Linked DNA regions of Elephas maximus indicus. The protein of the gene in region 1 interacts with the protein of each later gene in a pairwise test. Links are inferred from orthologs where the notes say so. Each region holds a gene or a part of one and is shown on either strand. Other genes may lie near its edges.

Evidence for each region.
Region 2: the proteins of BCL2L13 (region 1) and TMEM86B interact in binary tests that used the Homo sapiens proteins (3 or more experiments, as listed by UniProt). The two-hybrid records come from large-scale screens. The link is inferred for Elephas maximus indicus from reciprocal best matches to the Homo sapiens genes BCL2L13 and TMEM86B.

Annotation. Positions count from the first base shown.
Region 1 is NC_064822.1:55,261,126-55,269,462, reverse strand, and holds the start of BCL2L13 (bcl-2-like protein 13), read left to right. Parts: upstream 1-5,042; 5' UTR 5,043-5,238; intron 5,239-5,245; exon of another isoform or gene 5,246-5,359; intron 5,360-8,337. UniProt on the Homo sapiens protein: May promote the activation of caspase-3 and apoptosis.
Region 2 is NC_064829.1:91,778,403-91,785,767, reverse strand, and holds TMEM86B (lysoplasmalogenase), read right to left. Parts: upstream 3,443-7,365; 5' UTR 3,319-3,442; coding exon 3,268-3,318; intron 2,938-3,267; coding exon 2,691-2,937; intron 1,470-2,690; coding exon 1,087-1,469; 3' UTR 797-1,086; downstream 1-796. Other genes in the region: PPP6R1 (serine/threonine-protein phosphatase 6 regulatory subunit 1), read right to left, coding at 5,583-5,586, 5,871-5,942, 6,022-6,132, 6,669-6,750, 6,865-6,935, 7,027-7,201, 7,274-7,365. UniProt on the Homo sapiens protein: Catalyzes the hydrolysis of the vinyl ether bond of choline or ethanolamine lysoplasmalogens, forming fatty aldehyde and glycerophosphocholine or glycerophosphoethanolamine, respectively and is specific for the sn-2-deacylated (lyso) form of plasmalogen.

The DNA of each region.
Region 1 (8,337 bases):
TTTGCTTCAAGATTTTAATTTTTAAATAAAAGAAATACTTTTACAAATACAGTTAACATCCCCCTTTTGAGCCCTGCCCATCCCCCATGTTAATACTCTCTAAGACCACAGCTTCTGCAGTGTTTTGCTGATGCACTAAGGAACAGGCCAGGACCTGTCTGATAAGAACGTGGTAAACTTCACAGAGAGAATCCCTGGAGTGAAAAAGTTATAATGAGTACACGCAAAGAGTAACCAATCGGTAGTTTTCCAAATTGAATTTCCTCCTACACTGCTTTAGGTCTTGTGAAGAAACTATTAAAACAGCTTTTTAGAAATATTTAAAAAATCCTCACTCCTGGATAAGCCTATTTGCCTATGGCTTCACCAAAATCACTGGCCTAGATAACTGTTAGGTTAGTTACAAAGCGATAATTTGTGGCATTGTCTCACCTACTACCATGCTGAGGCTTCACTATGTGGTTAAATTAGAAATTGAGTCAGCAGAATAGAAGAGCTAACTCATGAATTTGTTTGCTGGGTAGGACATAAAGGGGAAGACTAGAAATTAATGTAGATAATTTCTGTCTTTGAATGTTTGAGGAATCAATTTAAAAAGGAAAAACAAATTGTAGCAGAAAGTAGCACACCTCTAACTCAGGTGCCTGCACTTTTACCCTTTTCTAACCAATTTTCCACAAAACAGTGATTTAAAACCCAGGTAGCATCCATTCACTCCCCAATATATAATCCTCTAGTAGCTTCCATTTGCTCCTGAACACCTCACAAACGTGGCCTCTATGGGTGCTGCCTGATCAGGCCCTTCAACAAGACACTTCTTTAATTTTCTGGATACAAGTTCTTTGTCAGATACATGTTTTGTGAATATTTTCTCCCAGTCTGTGGTTTGCCTTTTCATTTTCTTAATGGTATATTGTGATAAGCAGAAGCCTTTAATTTTGATGATGCTCAATTTAATAACTTTTCTTACATTGTCCATGCTTTTGGTGTCCTAAGAAATCTTGACCTACTCCAAGGTTGTGAAGATATTCCTTTGTTTTTTTCTAAAAGCTTTACAGTTTTTGCTATTACATTTAGATCTATGACCCATCTCAATTTTTTAAAATAGTGTGAGATAGAGATCGAGGTCCATTTTTTTCCATACGTTTATCTAGCTGTTCCACAGCCATTAGCTGAAAAGACTTTCCCTTCCTCATTGAATTACACTGGTGCCTTTTATCAAATACCAATTGACCATATGTGTGGGGGTCCATTTCTGGACTTGATGTTCTACTGATTTGTCTATCCTTATGCCCATATGGAGCCCTGGAGGTGCAGTGGTTAAGAGATCGGCTGCTAACCAAAAAGTTAACAGTTCGAACACACCAGCTCCTTCTTGGCAAACCCTACTTTGTCTTGTAAGTTCATTATGAGACTTGATGGAAATGGGTTTGGTATGCCAATAAACCATCTTGGATATTACAGCTTTGTATTAAATCTTATAATCAGGTAGTGAGACTTGCAATTTTTAAAAAGATCATTTTCGCTATTCTAGGTCCTTTGCATTTCTGCATTAGTGTTTAGAATCAACTTGTCAACTCCCCCCTCCCCCCACAAAAAAACTGTAGGGATTTTGTTGGGGACTGCATTGAATATGCAGATAGATCAATTTAGAAAACTGATATTTTCTCAATATTGAGTCTTCTAATTTCTGAACATGGTATAGCTCTGCATTTACTTAAAGCTTTATTTCTCTCAGCAATGTTTTAGTTTGTGTAGAGTTTTCATGTCTTTCAAAAAAGTTATAACTTTCATTTTTTGATGCTATGTAAATGGAATATCTAATTTTTTTTTTTTTTTTTTTTACTTTCCAGTTGTTGGCCGCTAGTATAGAAATCAAATTGATTTTTATATCTTGTGACCTTTCTAAATACACTTATTGGTTCCTGGTTCTAGTAGTTGTTTTTAGGTCCTATAGGATTTTCTATGTAAACAATACCTAAAGTTTGATGTTTTAAACAGAACGGACTGTAAATCCTTACTAAGATCTATTCTGTGGGCAAAAAAACTGCAAAGAAATCTTACACTTTATTCAGTTTTATTGTATTAGTAGCCATGTATTAATTTTGAAATTATTATATTGTAGGGTAAAACAAACAAGTTGACATTAATGTTATTAGGAACCAAGAGACACAAATACAGAATAAGAAAAGAAAAATCCTTCATGTTATATTTGTTATATTTAAACATATTTGTTATATTTGAATTGAAGGTATCTACTTGAATTTATGACTTAAAAAATATATATCTATTTCCTAGATCTGTCCACTGAGAGGGCCTAGAAGTAAGGACACCTGGTAGAAATAAGAATACATCCACAACTTGGTTTCTAACTCCTATTTCCCTCTAAAAGGAACCACAGGCCCTTGGAGAAATGGCTGATTCCCAGTCTGGGGCGGGGAAGGTATGAGGTGAGTCCGGACATCTTATTTTACCAGCGAGCAAGAAAGCTCTCAAAAAGACTCCTGTGTCCTTTGACATAGAAGTGTGCTTGAAAGGGCTCTCACTGGCCAAATTAGGGACAATTTGGAAGTCAAAAAGAACAATGACTGTAATGTATTTTAAACCATTTAATAAATAAAAATCCATTTGTCCATAGTGTTAAACAATAAAAACAAATGAAAATACTCGTTTCAGCATACAGTGATTATTACACTAATTCCAGACTCTAAAAATTGACAATTACAGGAAATACTCAAGTATTTACTCTGCTTCACCCCGCCCCCACCCGGCCAAAAGCATGTGGAACTCATTCCCAGTTGATTCTGTAAATAAAAAAATTTCTTATTTACAGAATGCCAGCTAATAAATGTAGAAAGATGCAATTAGAAAATCACTATTTTCAATGCTCAGTGAAAACTATTTAAGCAAGAATAATACATGAATGCTGAAAGTATTAAGTGAAAGGTTATTGGGGAACAGGATCAACTTTAGCATCAGTAATAACAGGACTCCAGGCACACTAAATGCTCCTACATAATGTAACCTGAAGTACACAGCCTCACGTATGAAGAATTTTTCTCCAGAAATGTTTAATCTGAATCTAATCAAGTCTTTACGTCTGGTCTCTCAAAAAGCCAATGTCATTTTAAAAAATTAAAAAAGGCTTAAGAAACTAATAAAAGATAACCAAATGCAATGTATAAACATTGATTAAATCCTGGCTTAAAAATAAACAAAATTATGAAGGAAATACTTGGGCAGTTGGGGATATGTAAATATGGACTAGATTATTACATAATACTAGGAAATTATGGGTAAATCTCTTAGAGGCTGACTAAGCCTTTTCTTGGCAAATCTCTTCCCTATTTCTCTGATAATGGCACCACCATTTTCTGCCAGTCAGGCTTAAAGAATCCTATGACACCCATCTCAGTCTTCTCTTCATTTCCACCACACCTCTGTCAGTACAGGTTTTCATCACTTCCTTTTTAACAGCTTTATTGAGATACCTCACATATCATACAATTCACCATTTAGTTACCCAACCATCACTACAATCAATTTTAGAACACTTTTACCACCCCTAAAAGAACCCCTGTACTCGTTAGCAGTCACTCCTTTTTAAGGATTGAATTGTTTCCCCCTGAAATGTGTCAACTTGGTTACACCATGGTTCTCAATAGTGTGTGGCAGTCCTCCATTTTTTGATTCGATGTAATCATTCTATGTGTTGTAAATTCTAACCTCTATGATGTTAATGAGGCAGGATTAGAGGCATTTATTTTTTTTTATGTTAATAAGGCAGGACAATCTACAGGACTATCTCTTTTGAGATATAATAGAGGACAGGAACCTCCTTACCACCAAACAAGAAGATGCAGAAGCTGAGTGAGTCCTCTGGACCCAGGGTCCCTGTGCTAAGAAGCTCCTAGACCAGAGAAAGATTGATGACAGAGACCTTCCCCCCAGAACCTAGACAGAGAGAGAGAGAGATAGAAAGCCTTCCCCTATAGCTGACGCCCTGAATTCGGATTTCCACCCTCCTAGAAGAATAAATTTGAGAGAATAAATTTGTTTGTTAAAGCCATTCACTTGTGGTATTTCTGTTACAGCCATACTAGATAACTAAGGCACTCCTCATCAGGTTTTTATCACTTCTGATCTGGCTTCTTACAACAGCCTAACTCCGCATCTTCAACTCTCTTTGTTCCAATTCGACTCATCTACACCACAGACGATGTGACTGCCCTAAAACATGGTTTAGCTATTATACCCTCTTCCCTAGATACCTTCAGTGACTCCCCCAAAGGACGCTTCGATTGAAGTAAACAAATACCCATTACCCAGTGAACCCCAGTGCCGTCGAGTCGATTCCGACTCATAGCGACCCTATAGGACAGAGTAGAACTGCCCCATAGTTTCCAAGGAGCGCCTGGTGGGGTTGAACTGCCGACCCTTTGATTAGTAGCCACACAATGTATTCAGGCACTGTGCTAGGTGCTAGGAACAAATGGCTCCAAGGCAGCCTTGACTTCTCTATTCTCCTACACTCTATTAAAAATGGATTAGTACTGAAGGCTTCTGTTATCGCCATAGCGTCTCCGCTCAGGAAGTTGCCTCTGCCTAGAAGGTTCCCTCTATCCTACCCCCTCATCATGCCCTCGGAAATCTTCCCCAACGTTCAAGGTCTATCTTCCCTAAGGAGTGGGTCCAAATCCCGCAGCACTTGAGAAGCTCTTAACACTTATCTAATTGGCTCGCTTGCACATACTCGAAGCTCAACACACATCTGCAGAACTGAACATATCCTTTGGACGCAGCGAAGCTCCACTGCGCGCCATCTCCAGCCTCTCTCCCAACATCGCGATTGGCTCTCCAACGTTTTCCCCTCTCTCTCTCCTAGCCCTCTATGACCGGAAATGACTTGAGGCGAGGGCGCCTCCGAAATCCCATGGATCATAGATTTGAGCGACTCCCGGGAAGAGCGAGCTAGAAAGGGTCTGCTCTTCCGGGTCAGGTCTGCGCGAAGAAACTCCAGATCTCAGTTGTCCCAGCTTCCGTTTGGGAGAACAGAACCGCCCCCTTCCCGCGCTCCTCGGCGTCCCGGGCCCGCCCTGACGCTGGCGGTGACGGATGGCGGCGGCGGTAGATTAGGGCCGTGGGTCAAAGCAGGCACAGCCGCTGGGGGACCCTGTCGGAAGCAACTGCCGCTGTCGCCGCCACTTTCATCTCTTCTGGGGCAGGGGCCAGGGCCAGGTGAGGGGAGTGGGGTTCTGGGCACGCAGAGCTGGGCTAGGAGGCGGTTTCACCTCCGTAGGACGGTGTCCAGAGACTGTGCCGACCCCACCGGCTCCCCAGTGGTCCCAGCGAAGCGTGAGTGAGTAAAAGAGTGTGTGTGTGTGCCGACGCCCCTTCGCCTGAGAGCTCGCGAAGCCACGGGGTCCGTTTCATTATAACCGGACTTATCCAGCGTGGTCTCGCCGTGAAAGCGTGTTGAGCAGAGCGTCTCCCTGAGTGGGCTGCCTGAGGCGCAGGAACTTGGCCCATTCTCCGCACCGCTGTTATTCTCCACGGCTGTCTTCACGTGGAAAACCGGTTCCATTTTTAGGACCAGACTGGGGAAAGTGGACTTCTCTTGGTCTCAAAAAAGGTTTTTATGCGACTCACTTGGAATGATTATAGATCCGCTCTGTCAGTCGCTCATTGTCACAGATAGTTAGAAATCTTGGACTTCTTATTCTAAATTCACTGTTGTTCTGACGCCCATTATTTTTTTCATAAAAACCTGCATTCTTACCCTCAGAGGCAATACCGTTCACACTGAGTCCTTCTTTGCTCGCAACATTCCAAGGAGAGGATAAGGAGATCCCAAGTTTCTTTCCTTCATAACCGAACATGAGGGAGAATTTGGAATTTTTGAGTTGAAGCTGATTTCTTTGACTTAGCGTAATGTTTTTGAAAATCGGACGGATCTGACTAGTTGTTCACATGCTCTTGACTGGTATTAGCTCTGTTTAGCTCTTAACCGCTCCCTGCACAAGTTGTTTATCCGTAATCACTATTTCTGTCTCTACGTAGAAGTTTTGAACTGAGCTGACAGTTTGTCCCCTCCCTCTTTTTTTGGCTTTATGGTTTAAAGCAAAACAAACAAAAAGCCTTTTTTACGAAATTGTCTGTAGAATTTTTCCCCGGAGGCTTGGTATAAACCAGAATGTTGACCTCTGCCCTGACTTGTTGTGTGACCTTGGATGAGATGCCACACCCTTCTGATGCCTTTTTTTAAAAAAAACCCAGAAAATTAAGTATTGTGTGAACTGCTTAGACTTCACGTACACAGTTGGACATTTGTACCTGCACATTTGATCCTGCAGACTGAAAATACTTAAGCCATTATGAAGTACTCTTCATTTGATAATAGGCAGTTAAGCGTTTTGTAAATCCTCTTTAATCTGAATGGCCCGGTACCATTCTAAATTTTTTTTTTAAATGACTTATTTTCTTATGGAGGAATGTGACATAGAAGTTGAATTCAACTTAAGATGGGTCGTTTTGAGTCGGAATCAACTTGACCGCAACAGGTTTTTTTTGTTTAAGGTTGAATCCAGCCAGCTTTGTAAAGAAAAGTGTGCTTAGTAGCTCATCAGTTAATAAATCAGATAATATATTTATTCAGTAATAATCATTGTTTTAAAAATATTTTTCTTAAATATTTTAGACAATTTTTAAATAATCACTTAGTACCCACCCTGCTGCTTATTGCTTTTTCATACATGATTTTGATCCATATCTTAATCCAAATAAACGGTCATCAAGAGTTCTTGCTTAATGTATATTACAGAGTTGAAGGGGAGCCATTTCCAGAGTAGCTGATTTTTTTTAACAGCTTCATTGAGACATAATGAGTATTCCATACAATCTACGAATTGTACAATTCAGTGATTTTTTACTACATTCACAGAGTTGTACAAGCATTTTCATTACTCCAAAAAGAAACACCATAGCCATTGGTAGTCGTTCCCCATGCCTGGCCCTCACCCATTCCCTCCCCATCCCAGGCAACCACTAATCTATTTTTTGTCTGTGTATAGACTTGCCTGTTCTGGAAATTTCACATAAATGGAATACACAACATTTGGTCTTTTGTAGGTGATTTCTTTGACTTAGCATAGTATTTTCAGGATTCATCCATTTTGTAGCATGTATCGTGATTTCTTTCCATTTTATGGCCAAATAATATTCCGTTGTATGAATATACTACATTTTATTCATTAGTCGGTTTAGGTTAGTTGTACTTTTTGGCTCTTATGAATAATGAATATGTAATGCTGTTACGAACATTTGTGTATAAATTCTTGTGTTTCGTTTTCTCTTGGGTATATACCTGGAAGTGAAAGAGTAATCAAATTTTATGTCTATTTTGGATTTGTGTCTTTAACGACTGTTATGTTTATGTAGAATTCTGTGTCCTCAAGCTATATACATATAAATGGGAAGCTTAATTAACCTGTTGTGGGAGTCAGATTTTTTGTGTGTGTTTGTGGGAAGACTTGAGAATGAGGCCTTCCTCTCTACATATAACCACCAACTGCCGTGGATTAGATTCCGAATATATGTAGCAACTCTACGTATATTACCTAGAAATGCCAACTGCTGAGTGAAAATATTTTGGGGACAGCTCTTAACACGAGATTGAACTAGAGTGTTTCCATTAGGCATGTATGTTCAATTGGAAGAAGAGAGCCTACATAACAACTTACTGTCTGCTGAGTTTTAAAAAAATGACACCTTGCTTGTCTTGCGTTTTGCAGGTGGGTGGGATGAATTTGCAGCTTCACAATCTTTATTAAAAAACCCAGTGCCATCGAGTTGGCTCTGACTCATAGCGACCCTATAGGACAGAGTAGAACTGCCCCATAGAGTTTCCAAGGAGCGCCTGGTGGAGTCGAACTGCTGACTCTTTGGTTGGCAGCCGTAGCGCTTAACCATACGCCACCAGGGTTTCCGCAATCTTTTTTAGGATTATTCTGCTTCTTCTGAAGAAAGTCTTAGGATTCTATGTTGTTGTTCTGTGCCTTCAAGTCGACAGGACTGTATAAAAAAAAAAAATAAGTAAAACATGGCTTAGAAAATGCAGTTATTGGATTTCATGTTAATTTGCAGAATTAAAAAAAAAAACAAAAAACTTACCTGCTCAAACTATCAGCCTTGAGTCTAGAGATCTGGTAGTCAAGAAGTGTTAATGTTTAAAATTCCAGAGTCTTAATTTAGGACTGAGTTATCTGTGGATTTTTAGGTTTTTATTTTTCTCTCCATAAGCTGGAATTGGAAACCCTGGTGGCATAGCAGTTAAGTGCT
Region 2 (7,365 bases), on another chromosome or scaffold:
TAGAGGTCTCCTCTCCACTGTAAGAGTCCCTAAATACACATCACGGAATACAGAAGTCTCCTCTCTGCTGTAAGAGTTCCTAAATGCACATCATGAAATGTAGAAGTCTCCTCACTGCTCTAAGAGTTCATAAGTGCACTTCACAGAATGTAGAACTCTCCTCTCCGCTTAAGAGTCCCCAAATGCACATCATGGAATGTAGAAGTCCTCTCTCTGTCATAAGAGTCCCTAAATACACCTCATGGCATGTAGAAGCCTCCTCTTTGTTATAAGAGTTCTTAAGTGCACTTCATGGAATGCCGAAGTCTCCTCTCTGCTGTAAAAGTCCTCAAACGCACATCATGGACTGTAGAAGCCGAGTGCCATGGGGCCTTGGAGTGTAGTTGTGACGCCTCATGTCTACAGATGCAGAACCTGAGGCCCAGATAGGAGAAACAGCTTGACAAGGGCAGACAGCCAAGGTAGAGCCCACAAAACCAGAGTGCTCTGTTCCTACCCCCTTGCCACCCACCCCCTCCTGGAAGGCCTCTTCATGTTTGAGTCTCCTCGCCTCCCCAACCCTCTCCTCCCCTAATGTGATATGTGACCAGTCTCCTGTGGGCATCAGCTCTTTAAATTCTCCCCTGTAAAATGGGAATCATGAACCTCCCACATCATAGGGCTGTGGGGAGAATTCTGTAACATGTTCCATAAGCCCTGGATGCTGGGCCTGGGTCACAGTCAGCACTTAATAAACACTTGGTGCCATTAATTGTGACCACATCCCTCCCAAAATAATGAGATATTGCCATTTCAATACCCACTTTACTTAGTGAAAAAATAGATTAGAGCCAGGAGAGGAGGCAGAGGGATGGAGAGGCAAGCTGTGGGTCTGGTGAGGGGTCTGGAACCTGAACATGGAACTGAAGGGAGATTTCTGGAACTCTATGGTAGAAAGGGAATTTCACAAACAGTACCCAATGTTCTGAGCCCGCTGTGCCCACAGGCAGGAGTCCAGAAGTACGCTCCATGGGACTCCTCTTGGGATAGGAGGTCCAAGAAGCCCAAGTATCCTGGCAGCAGGGGAGGGGAATGGACAGGGCAAGGTCAGTTCCTTTTGTGCCTGGGGCCACTGATGGCTGACAGAGTGATGAGAGCCTGGGCAGCGTAGTAGGTGGTCATGACCACCAAGTGGGCGCGGGGCAGGGGCTGGGCAAAGGCATCCCAGGCCAGCACAGCATCCGAGATTGTGAAGAGCAGAGCTCCCAGGCCGGCACTGCCTCCCCAGACCAGGCCACGCCACAGCACTGCAGCCAGCAGGAGGGCGTAGGCTGCCACAGGTAGGGCCTTGTCCGGGGGCAGGTGTGGCAGCAGGAGGCCGTAGTATGGAATACAGGCCAGGGCAACGGGCAGTAGGGTGGCCGGCTGCAGTGGGGAGAAGCCGAAGGTCGCGAGGTAGAGGAGGTGGGCTGTGGCAAAGGCAACCATGCCTGTAAGAGGGGTTGGGCGCCCAGTGAGGGTGGTGGTCCGTAAGTCCTCCTGATTCTCCCCACTTTTCCTCTTCCCCTGGGCCACCACCACCACACAAACCTGAAGGGAGGGCCCTGCTCCCGCCCAATCCCTGCCACTATCATCTCGTGCTGGGATTACAGTGTTGCCCAACTGCCCTTGCCTCCCAGTCAGTTTTCAACACAGCAGTCAGAAAAAACAAAATAAATAAAAACTGTTGTCATCAATTCTGACTCATGGCAACCCTATTGTGTGTCAGAGTAGAACTGCTCCACAGGGCTTCCTTGGCTGTAACCTTTACAGAAGCAGATTGTCAGAACTTTTTTCCACAGAGCTACTGGGTGAGTTTGAACCACCAACCGGTCAGTGGTACAAACCAGTTGTACCACCCAGGAACCTCCGGCAGTTGGGGATATCTTAAAATGCACACCAAATCATGCTCCCCTGCTCTAAACCCTCCACCCACCCCCATGACACCCCAAGAGAGCACCCAGTTATCTTTACTGACTGTGGCCTACAAGGTCCACACCTTCTGCCCCAGCCACCTCTTTAGACAGTCACCAGGACCGCACCTACCTCAGGGACTTTGCACGTGTTAGTCTCTCTGCCTGGAAGGCCCCACCCCCAGATACGCCTGTGGTTAGCTCCATCCGTTCCTTCAGGACTTTGCCCAGATGCTACCTTCTCATGGAAGCCATTCCCGATTACTATATTTAACACTGCATACCAACCCTGCCCCTGGTCAATCTTAATTCTCCATGCCCCTTGTTGTTGTATGAAGTTGAGTCGTTTCTGAGTCATAGTGACCCGTGTGACAGAGAACTGCCCCATAGGGTTTCCTAGGCTGTCATCTTTATGGGAACAGATCACCAGATCTTTTTCCAGTGGAGCCACTGGGTGGGTTTGAACCACTGACCTTTCAGCTAGCAGCTGAGGGCTCAAGTGTTGTGCCACCAGGGCTCCTTCCGTGGCACTTACCGCCTCCTAACATCATACTCTGGTCCCCCACACTGGGATGCCAGCTCCATGAGGGCAGGTAGTTTTGTCTGTCCTGGCAGTTGCTGCCTTTGAAACCCGCTCACCACCTGGCTAGTGGTACGTGCTCCACCAAAAAGTCTCCCCTGAGCCCCAGTGCTGCTCAACTCCTCTGTAGAGCATCTTAAATTAGGTCCCCGAGAGGTGTCATGATGCGGCCCGCTCACCGTACAGGAAGGCGTCAGGCCAGATGAGGCAGATGTCTCCCACAGCCGAGCACAGCAAGGCTCCCTGCACGAGCGCAGTGTAGCTCCTGCTGGGGGACAAGGCCCGCAGGCACACAGCCAGGCAGAGCACGGGCAGACATTTGACCAGGGCATGAAGCGGGGATGGTGGGTCCTCAGGGTTCCAGAGGAGGAAGTAGATAGTGCAGGTGAGGAAGAAGGGGCTGAGCCACCTGGCGATGTGTACGTTCTTGGGGAGAACAGGGGGAGGGCTGCTGAGCTCCAGAACCACGCTCCAGACCACCCTTGCCTCTCAGGGTCCTCAGTCCACCTAACAGCCAGGACCTACCACCCCAGCGCCCTTGGGCCCTGGATCCAGCTGGGACAGTATCCAGGTGTGGGGGCTCCCGCCCACGCCCTGCTGTCACCAGGCCTCCAGCCTGCCCAGGACTAGGACCCTGGTCCCTTAGGAGGGCAGGACACCAGCCAATTCCTTAATCAAGGGTCCCTCAGCCTCTAGCCTGGTCCTTAGGACCCCGCCCCATTGCCCCACTTCCCCCTCCCCACCAAGGGCTCTCACGTGGACTGCAAGGCCAGGCTCCCGGGGTGGCCCCCTTCCTCTGGTGTCCATGCTGGTTTCTCACACCCCCGTCACCTCTGCCTGAGCACTGGTGGCTTTGGTGGGGGGGGGGTGAAGGGGAGGGTGCATAGTTACACGTTAACCTGGACGAGCGTCCTGTGGACTCTGGGGCTGATAAGAGGGCCCAGAGAGATGCCACCCCCAGCCCTGACACAGCCCAGCCTGGCACTGGCTGATAACATGCCCAGTGGGATCCAGTAATCCCTCCCTCCCGAACCTGCAACTCCTCCCCTGCCTGGTCTCCTCCTCTCTGTCAGGGGGCCATGAGGTGGAACCCGCTACTATCTAGTTGCCAATCAATCAAAAGGGAATGGGGCAAGGTTCACAGGTCCCCCCACAGAGGCAGAGGGGGTGCAATTCATACCTCCCAGCCCACAGGCGGTCACACTGCCAGCAGGGAGGACAGTGCCTGACTTAGCAGACCCCTCTCCACTCGCTGCCCTGGGGGGTGAGTACAGACTCCCTCCAACACCATCTGCCGTCCTCAGCATCCCATCTTTCGTCCCCAAGCCCCTCTGAGCCCACGGCCCCAGACATCCCCCTACAAGTACTCAAGGCATGAAGACGGGGCACACATAGAGTGAGCTGCAGCTGTTCTCACTGGCCTCAGGGGCCTTGTCCTTGAGGCTCATGAGGACAACGCTGGTCACCAGGGCCAGTCTGCACATGGGTATGACCAACACTGAGGTTTCCACACTGACCCTGCAGCAACTTCTTTGTTTTCTAGTTTCAGGCTTTCAAAGGACACCAAGGTTGATCCCCACGTGCACACAGCTGCGCCTCAATGTGTAGCACAGGCAGTGAACAGGGCGAGCTCATGACCTCAAAGTCAGGCAGGTGGCCCCGTGTCACCGGGAGAACATGGGCTCAGAGGACAGCCACCGGCTGTTTAGTTGTGGGGCTGCGATGGACAGTCCAGGCGTCGACAAGCCCCACAATGCAGCAGGGGCTATTAGGGTCTGGAAGGAAACTGAGACCACCACCCCTGTGCTATGTAGGGCTTTATTCCTCAGTCGGTTGTCTCACTTGTGGGGGCTGTGCGTTCGTCAGCTGTATGGCCTTAAGCCTGCATCGTGTGATGGGGACATGTGGGACTGGAAGTCACCCAAGACCGGGTGCCAGGCCTCAGCTTGAACTTGAAGAGGTTGCTGGGCTCACTTCCTGCCCGGAGAAACCCCTTCCTGTTCTGGGCAGAAGTTGTCGCCCCTCCCCCAGGGGAGAACTGGGGACATGATTCCTTGGGAAAGGGAGCAGCGATCTTGCAGCCCCAGAAGAAACCACTGTGGCTATCTCATTCGGCCCCGCCCTGTGCCCCTCACTCAGCCTGCAGCACCAGCAGTTGTCAACGGTTTCCTTTATTGTATTTGCAATATGAAATAAAGCTCGCACAGACACGCACCACTCACGCAGCTCGCTTGGGGACAGGACGCTGGGACAAGGTCACTTGGCAGCTGGGGTTGGAGCCCCAGACACTTGGGATGAAGGGGGCCCCCAGCCAGACCCCTACCCGGAGCTGAAAGAGGCCAAAGGGGGAAAGAGTGGGGCATCGGCGGGGAGTCTAGGGCCCCAAGGGAATGTTACAGGGCGCCCCCATGTATGGGACCCCAGCCCTGTCCCCAGCAGAGCCCTTGGGTTTCCAGGCTGGGTGACAGTGCAGGGCTAGGGGAGGGGGCTTGGCAAAGGCACCGCCCACCCCAGCCCCCAGTTTCCCCTACCCTCCCAGCTTCCCCCCAGGAGGCCCTGAGCTGAGACCAGATGTGAGTGTGTGTGTTGGTGGTCTGCTTGAGGTGGGGAGCTACACTCTGCTTCAGACAAGTGAAAGGGACGCTGTCTGCGTGTGGTGAGGCCACACCCAACCGGCCTTGCCGGGAAGGGACAGGTAGGATGGGGTAAGGTTGTGCTTCAGAGCCAGATGTCCCCCAGGCGCCCACATGACCCAGGTGCCCTTCCTCTTCTCCACAATATATATATATAGTTTATAATATAGGTCTCTCTCTCTCCTCGTTCTCTAGTCGACTCTCTATATTTTTATTCTAGGAGGCAAAACTCCAACAATTTTCAGTGCAAATGGGGATGGGGTGGGCGGTCTCCCTCGGACACCAGCTCCTGGGAGCCCAGAGAAAGAATGTGGGTGAGGGTTGATGGGGTGGGGGCGGGGGAGTGGGGGCCCAGGACCCGGCCCTGCCCCCACCCCGGGCAGAGTCCATGGGAGTATGGGCGCTATGGCCACCGCTGCCACCGCCAGGACCAGGCTGTCACCTAGAACAGAGGGAGATACCAGGTGAGCCCTGGGACACCAGCTCACTGTCTGTCCGTGGGGTCCCAGCATAGCCAAACTCACTGGGAACCCAGGAACACCTCCCACCACCCACCTGTCCCTGTGGTCCCAGCACAGCTATACTCACTGGGAGCCTGGGAACGCCCACCCACCACCTGCCTGCCCCCATGGTCCCGGCACAGCCATACTCACTGGGAGTCTGGGAACGCCCACCGGCCAGCTACCCACCAACCCGCCCTCACGGTCCTGCCCCAGTCATACTCACTGGGAGACCGGGGCCATAGGCCCGCCTGGGGTGGAGCCACTGGGCATCTGAGGCGGCTGGAGGGGCTGGGCACTGTCAGAAAAGCGACACCAGGGGTCACCCTTATGCCCATGTGGTCCCTGCCCACCCTGCTGGCCGCACCACTGCTCACCTCTGGCTTTGAGGCAGCCCCAAGGGCGCTGGATTCTTCTCCCCCTCGGTGGTCTCGGGGGGCTGCTGGGCCCCGGTGGCTGGGACAGAGGTAGAGGGGTCTCTGGTTGCACTGAGGAAGGAGAGGGGAAGTCAGTGATGCTGAAGATCCCTCGCAGGTACCTGGCCATCCTGTGTCAGTCGGGGCGCCCATCTGGGGCATGGTCACGGGCATGGGGAGCCCTGGCACAGCATCAAACTAGCCCCTTGCCCCAGCCCACTCAGCCCTCAGCCCCTGTGGGAACCTGCATTCCAGGCCCAACGCAGGGCGATGCCCCATGGCACACCAATCCCTGTGGATGCTGACAGAGACCTCTCCCTGCTCTCCCGTCCCTTTTTTGAGGCCCCGCTCCTCCTGACTAGAGTCTCCCCTACCCTTCTGGAAGCCCCTGGCCCAATACCACCATCTGGCCACCCTGTCACTGACAGAGGTACAGCCCTATGAGGCGCAAGGAGAGGAATAGGGGTGGGGTGGAGGAACAAGCAGTCCCTGAGACACAGACAATGGGCCCGGGTGGTCTGAGCAGCTCTGGGTGGACAAGCCAGGCCCCACGTCAACCAGGGAGGACCTGGCACCACCCCCACCGCTGATGGCACCCAGCCTGTCACCTGTCTAAGGAGCTGGGGGTGCCACGCATCCCGCTGAGGGTAGCCTGGAGGTCCCCGACGCTGACCAAGGCCTGGCAGGGGGCTGCGGCAGGAGGAGAGGAAGAAGCAGTGAGGTACCTGCGAGGCGGAAGGTGCAAGGGGAAAGGCGCGGGAAAGGTGTCAGTGAGGTGGGGGATGGTGTGGGGGTGCTCCTCACCCACAGGCTCTGCAACACTGCTACCAGTGGAGGCTTCCTGAGGTGCTGAAGGGGCTGCAGGGTCCTCAGACCTGGAAGGAGCCAGGCAGTAGGAGGTGAGGCCGTGACATGGGCAGGGCACCGCACCCCACCCTCCACCCAGGCTCCTCACTGCATCCTCACCTAACCTGCAGGCCTTCGCTGGCTGGAAGGACAGCCAGGCTTGGGGCAGGTGGGCTCTGGGGACCATCACAAGGCCCCTGGGGGGCCATGGGCCTGGGCTCTTCACCCCCGGAGATGCAGGGGCCTGCGGAGGCTTCAGTAGGCACTGGGTCAAAGGTGGCCGTCCAGCCAGGGCCTGGAGGAGAAGGAAGTGTGAGCGCTGGAGAGGACTGGGGCCCGCCAGCCCCGCCCTCTTCACTCCACTCACCCTGGGGTGGTGGTGCCACAGGCTGGGGGCTGGGGCTCAGGTAGGAGGGGGCACTAGCCCCTCCCCTGACCGTGTGGCTGTCGGCATCTTCC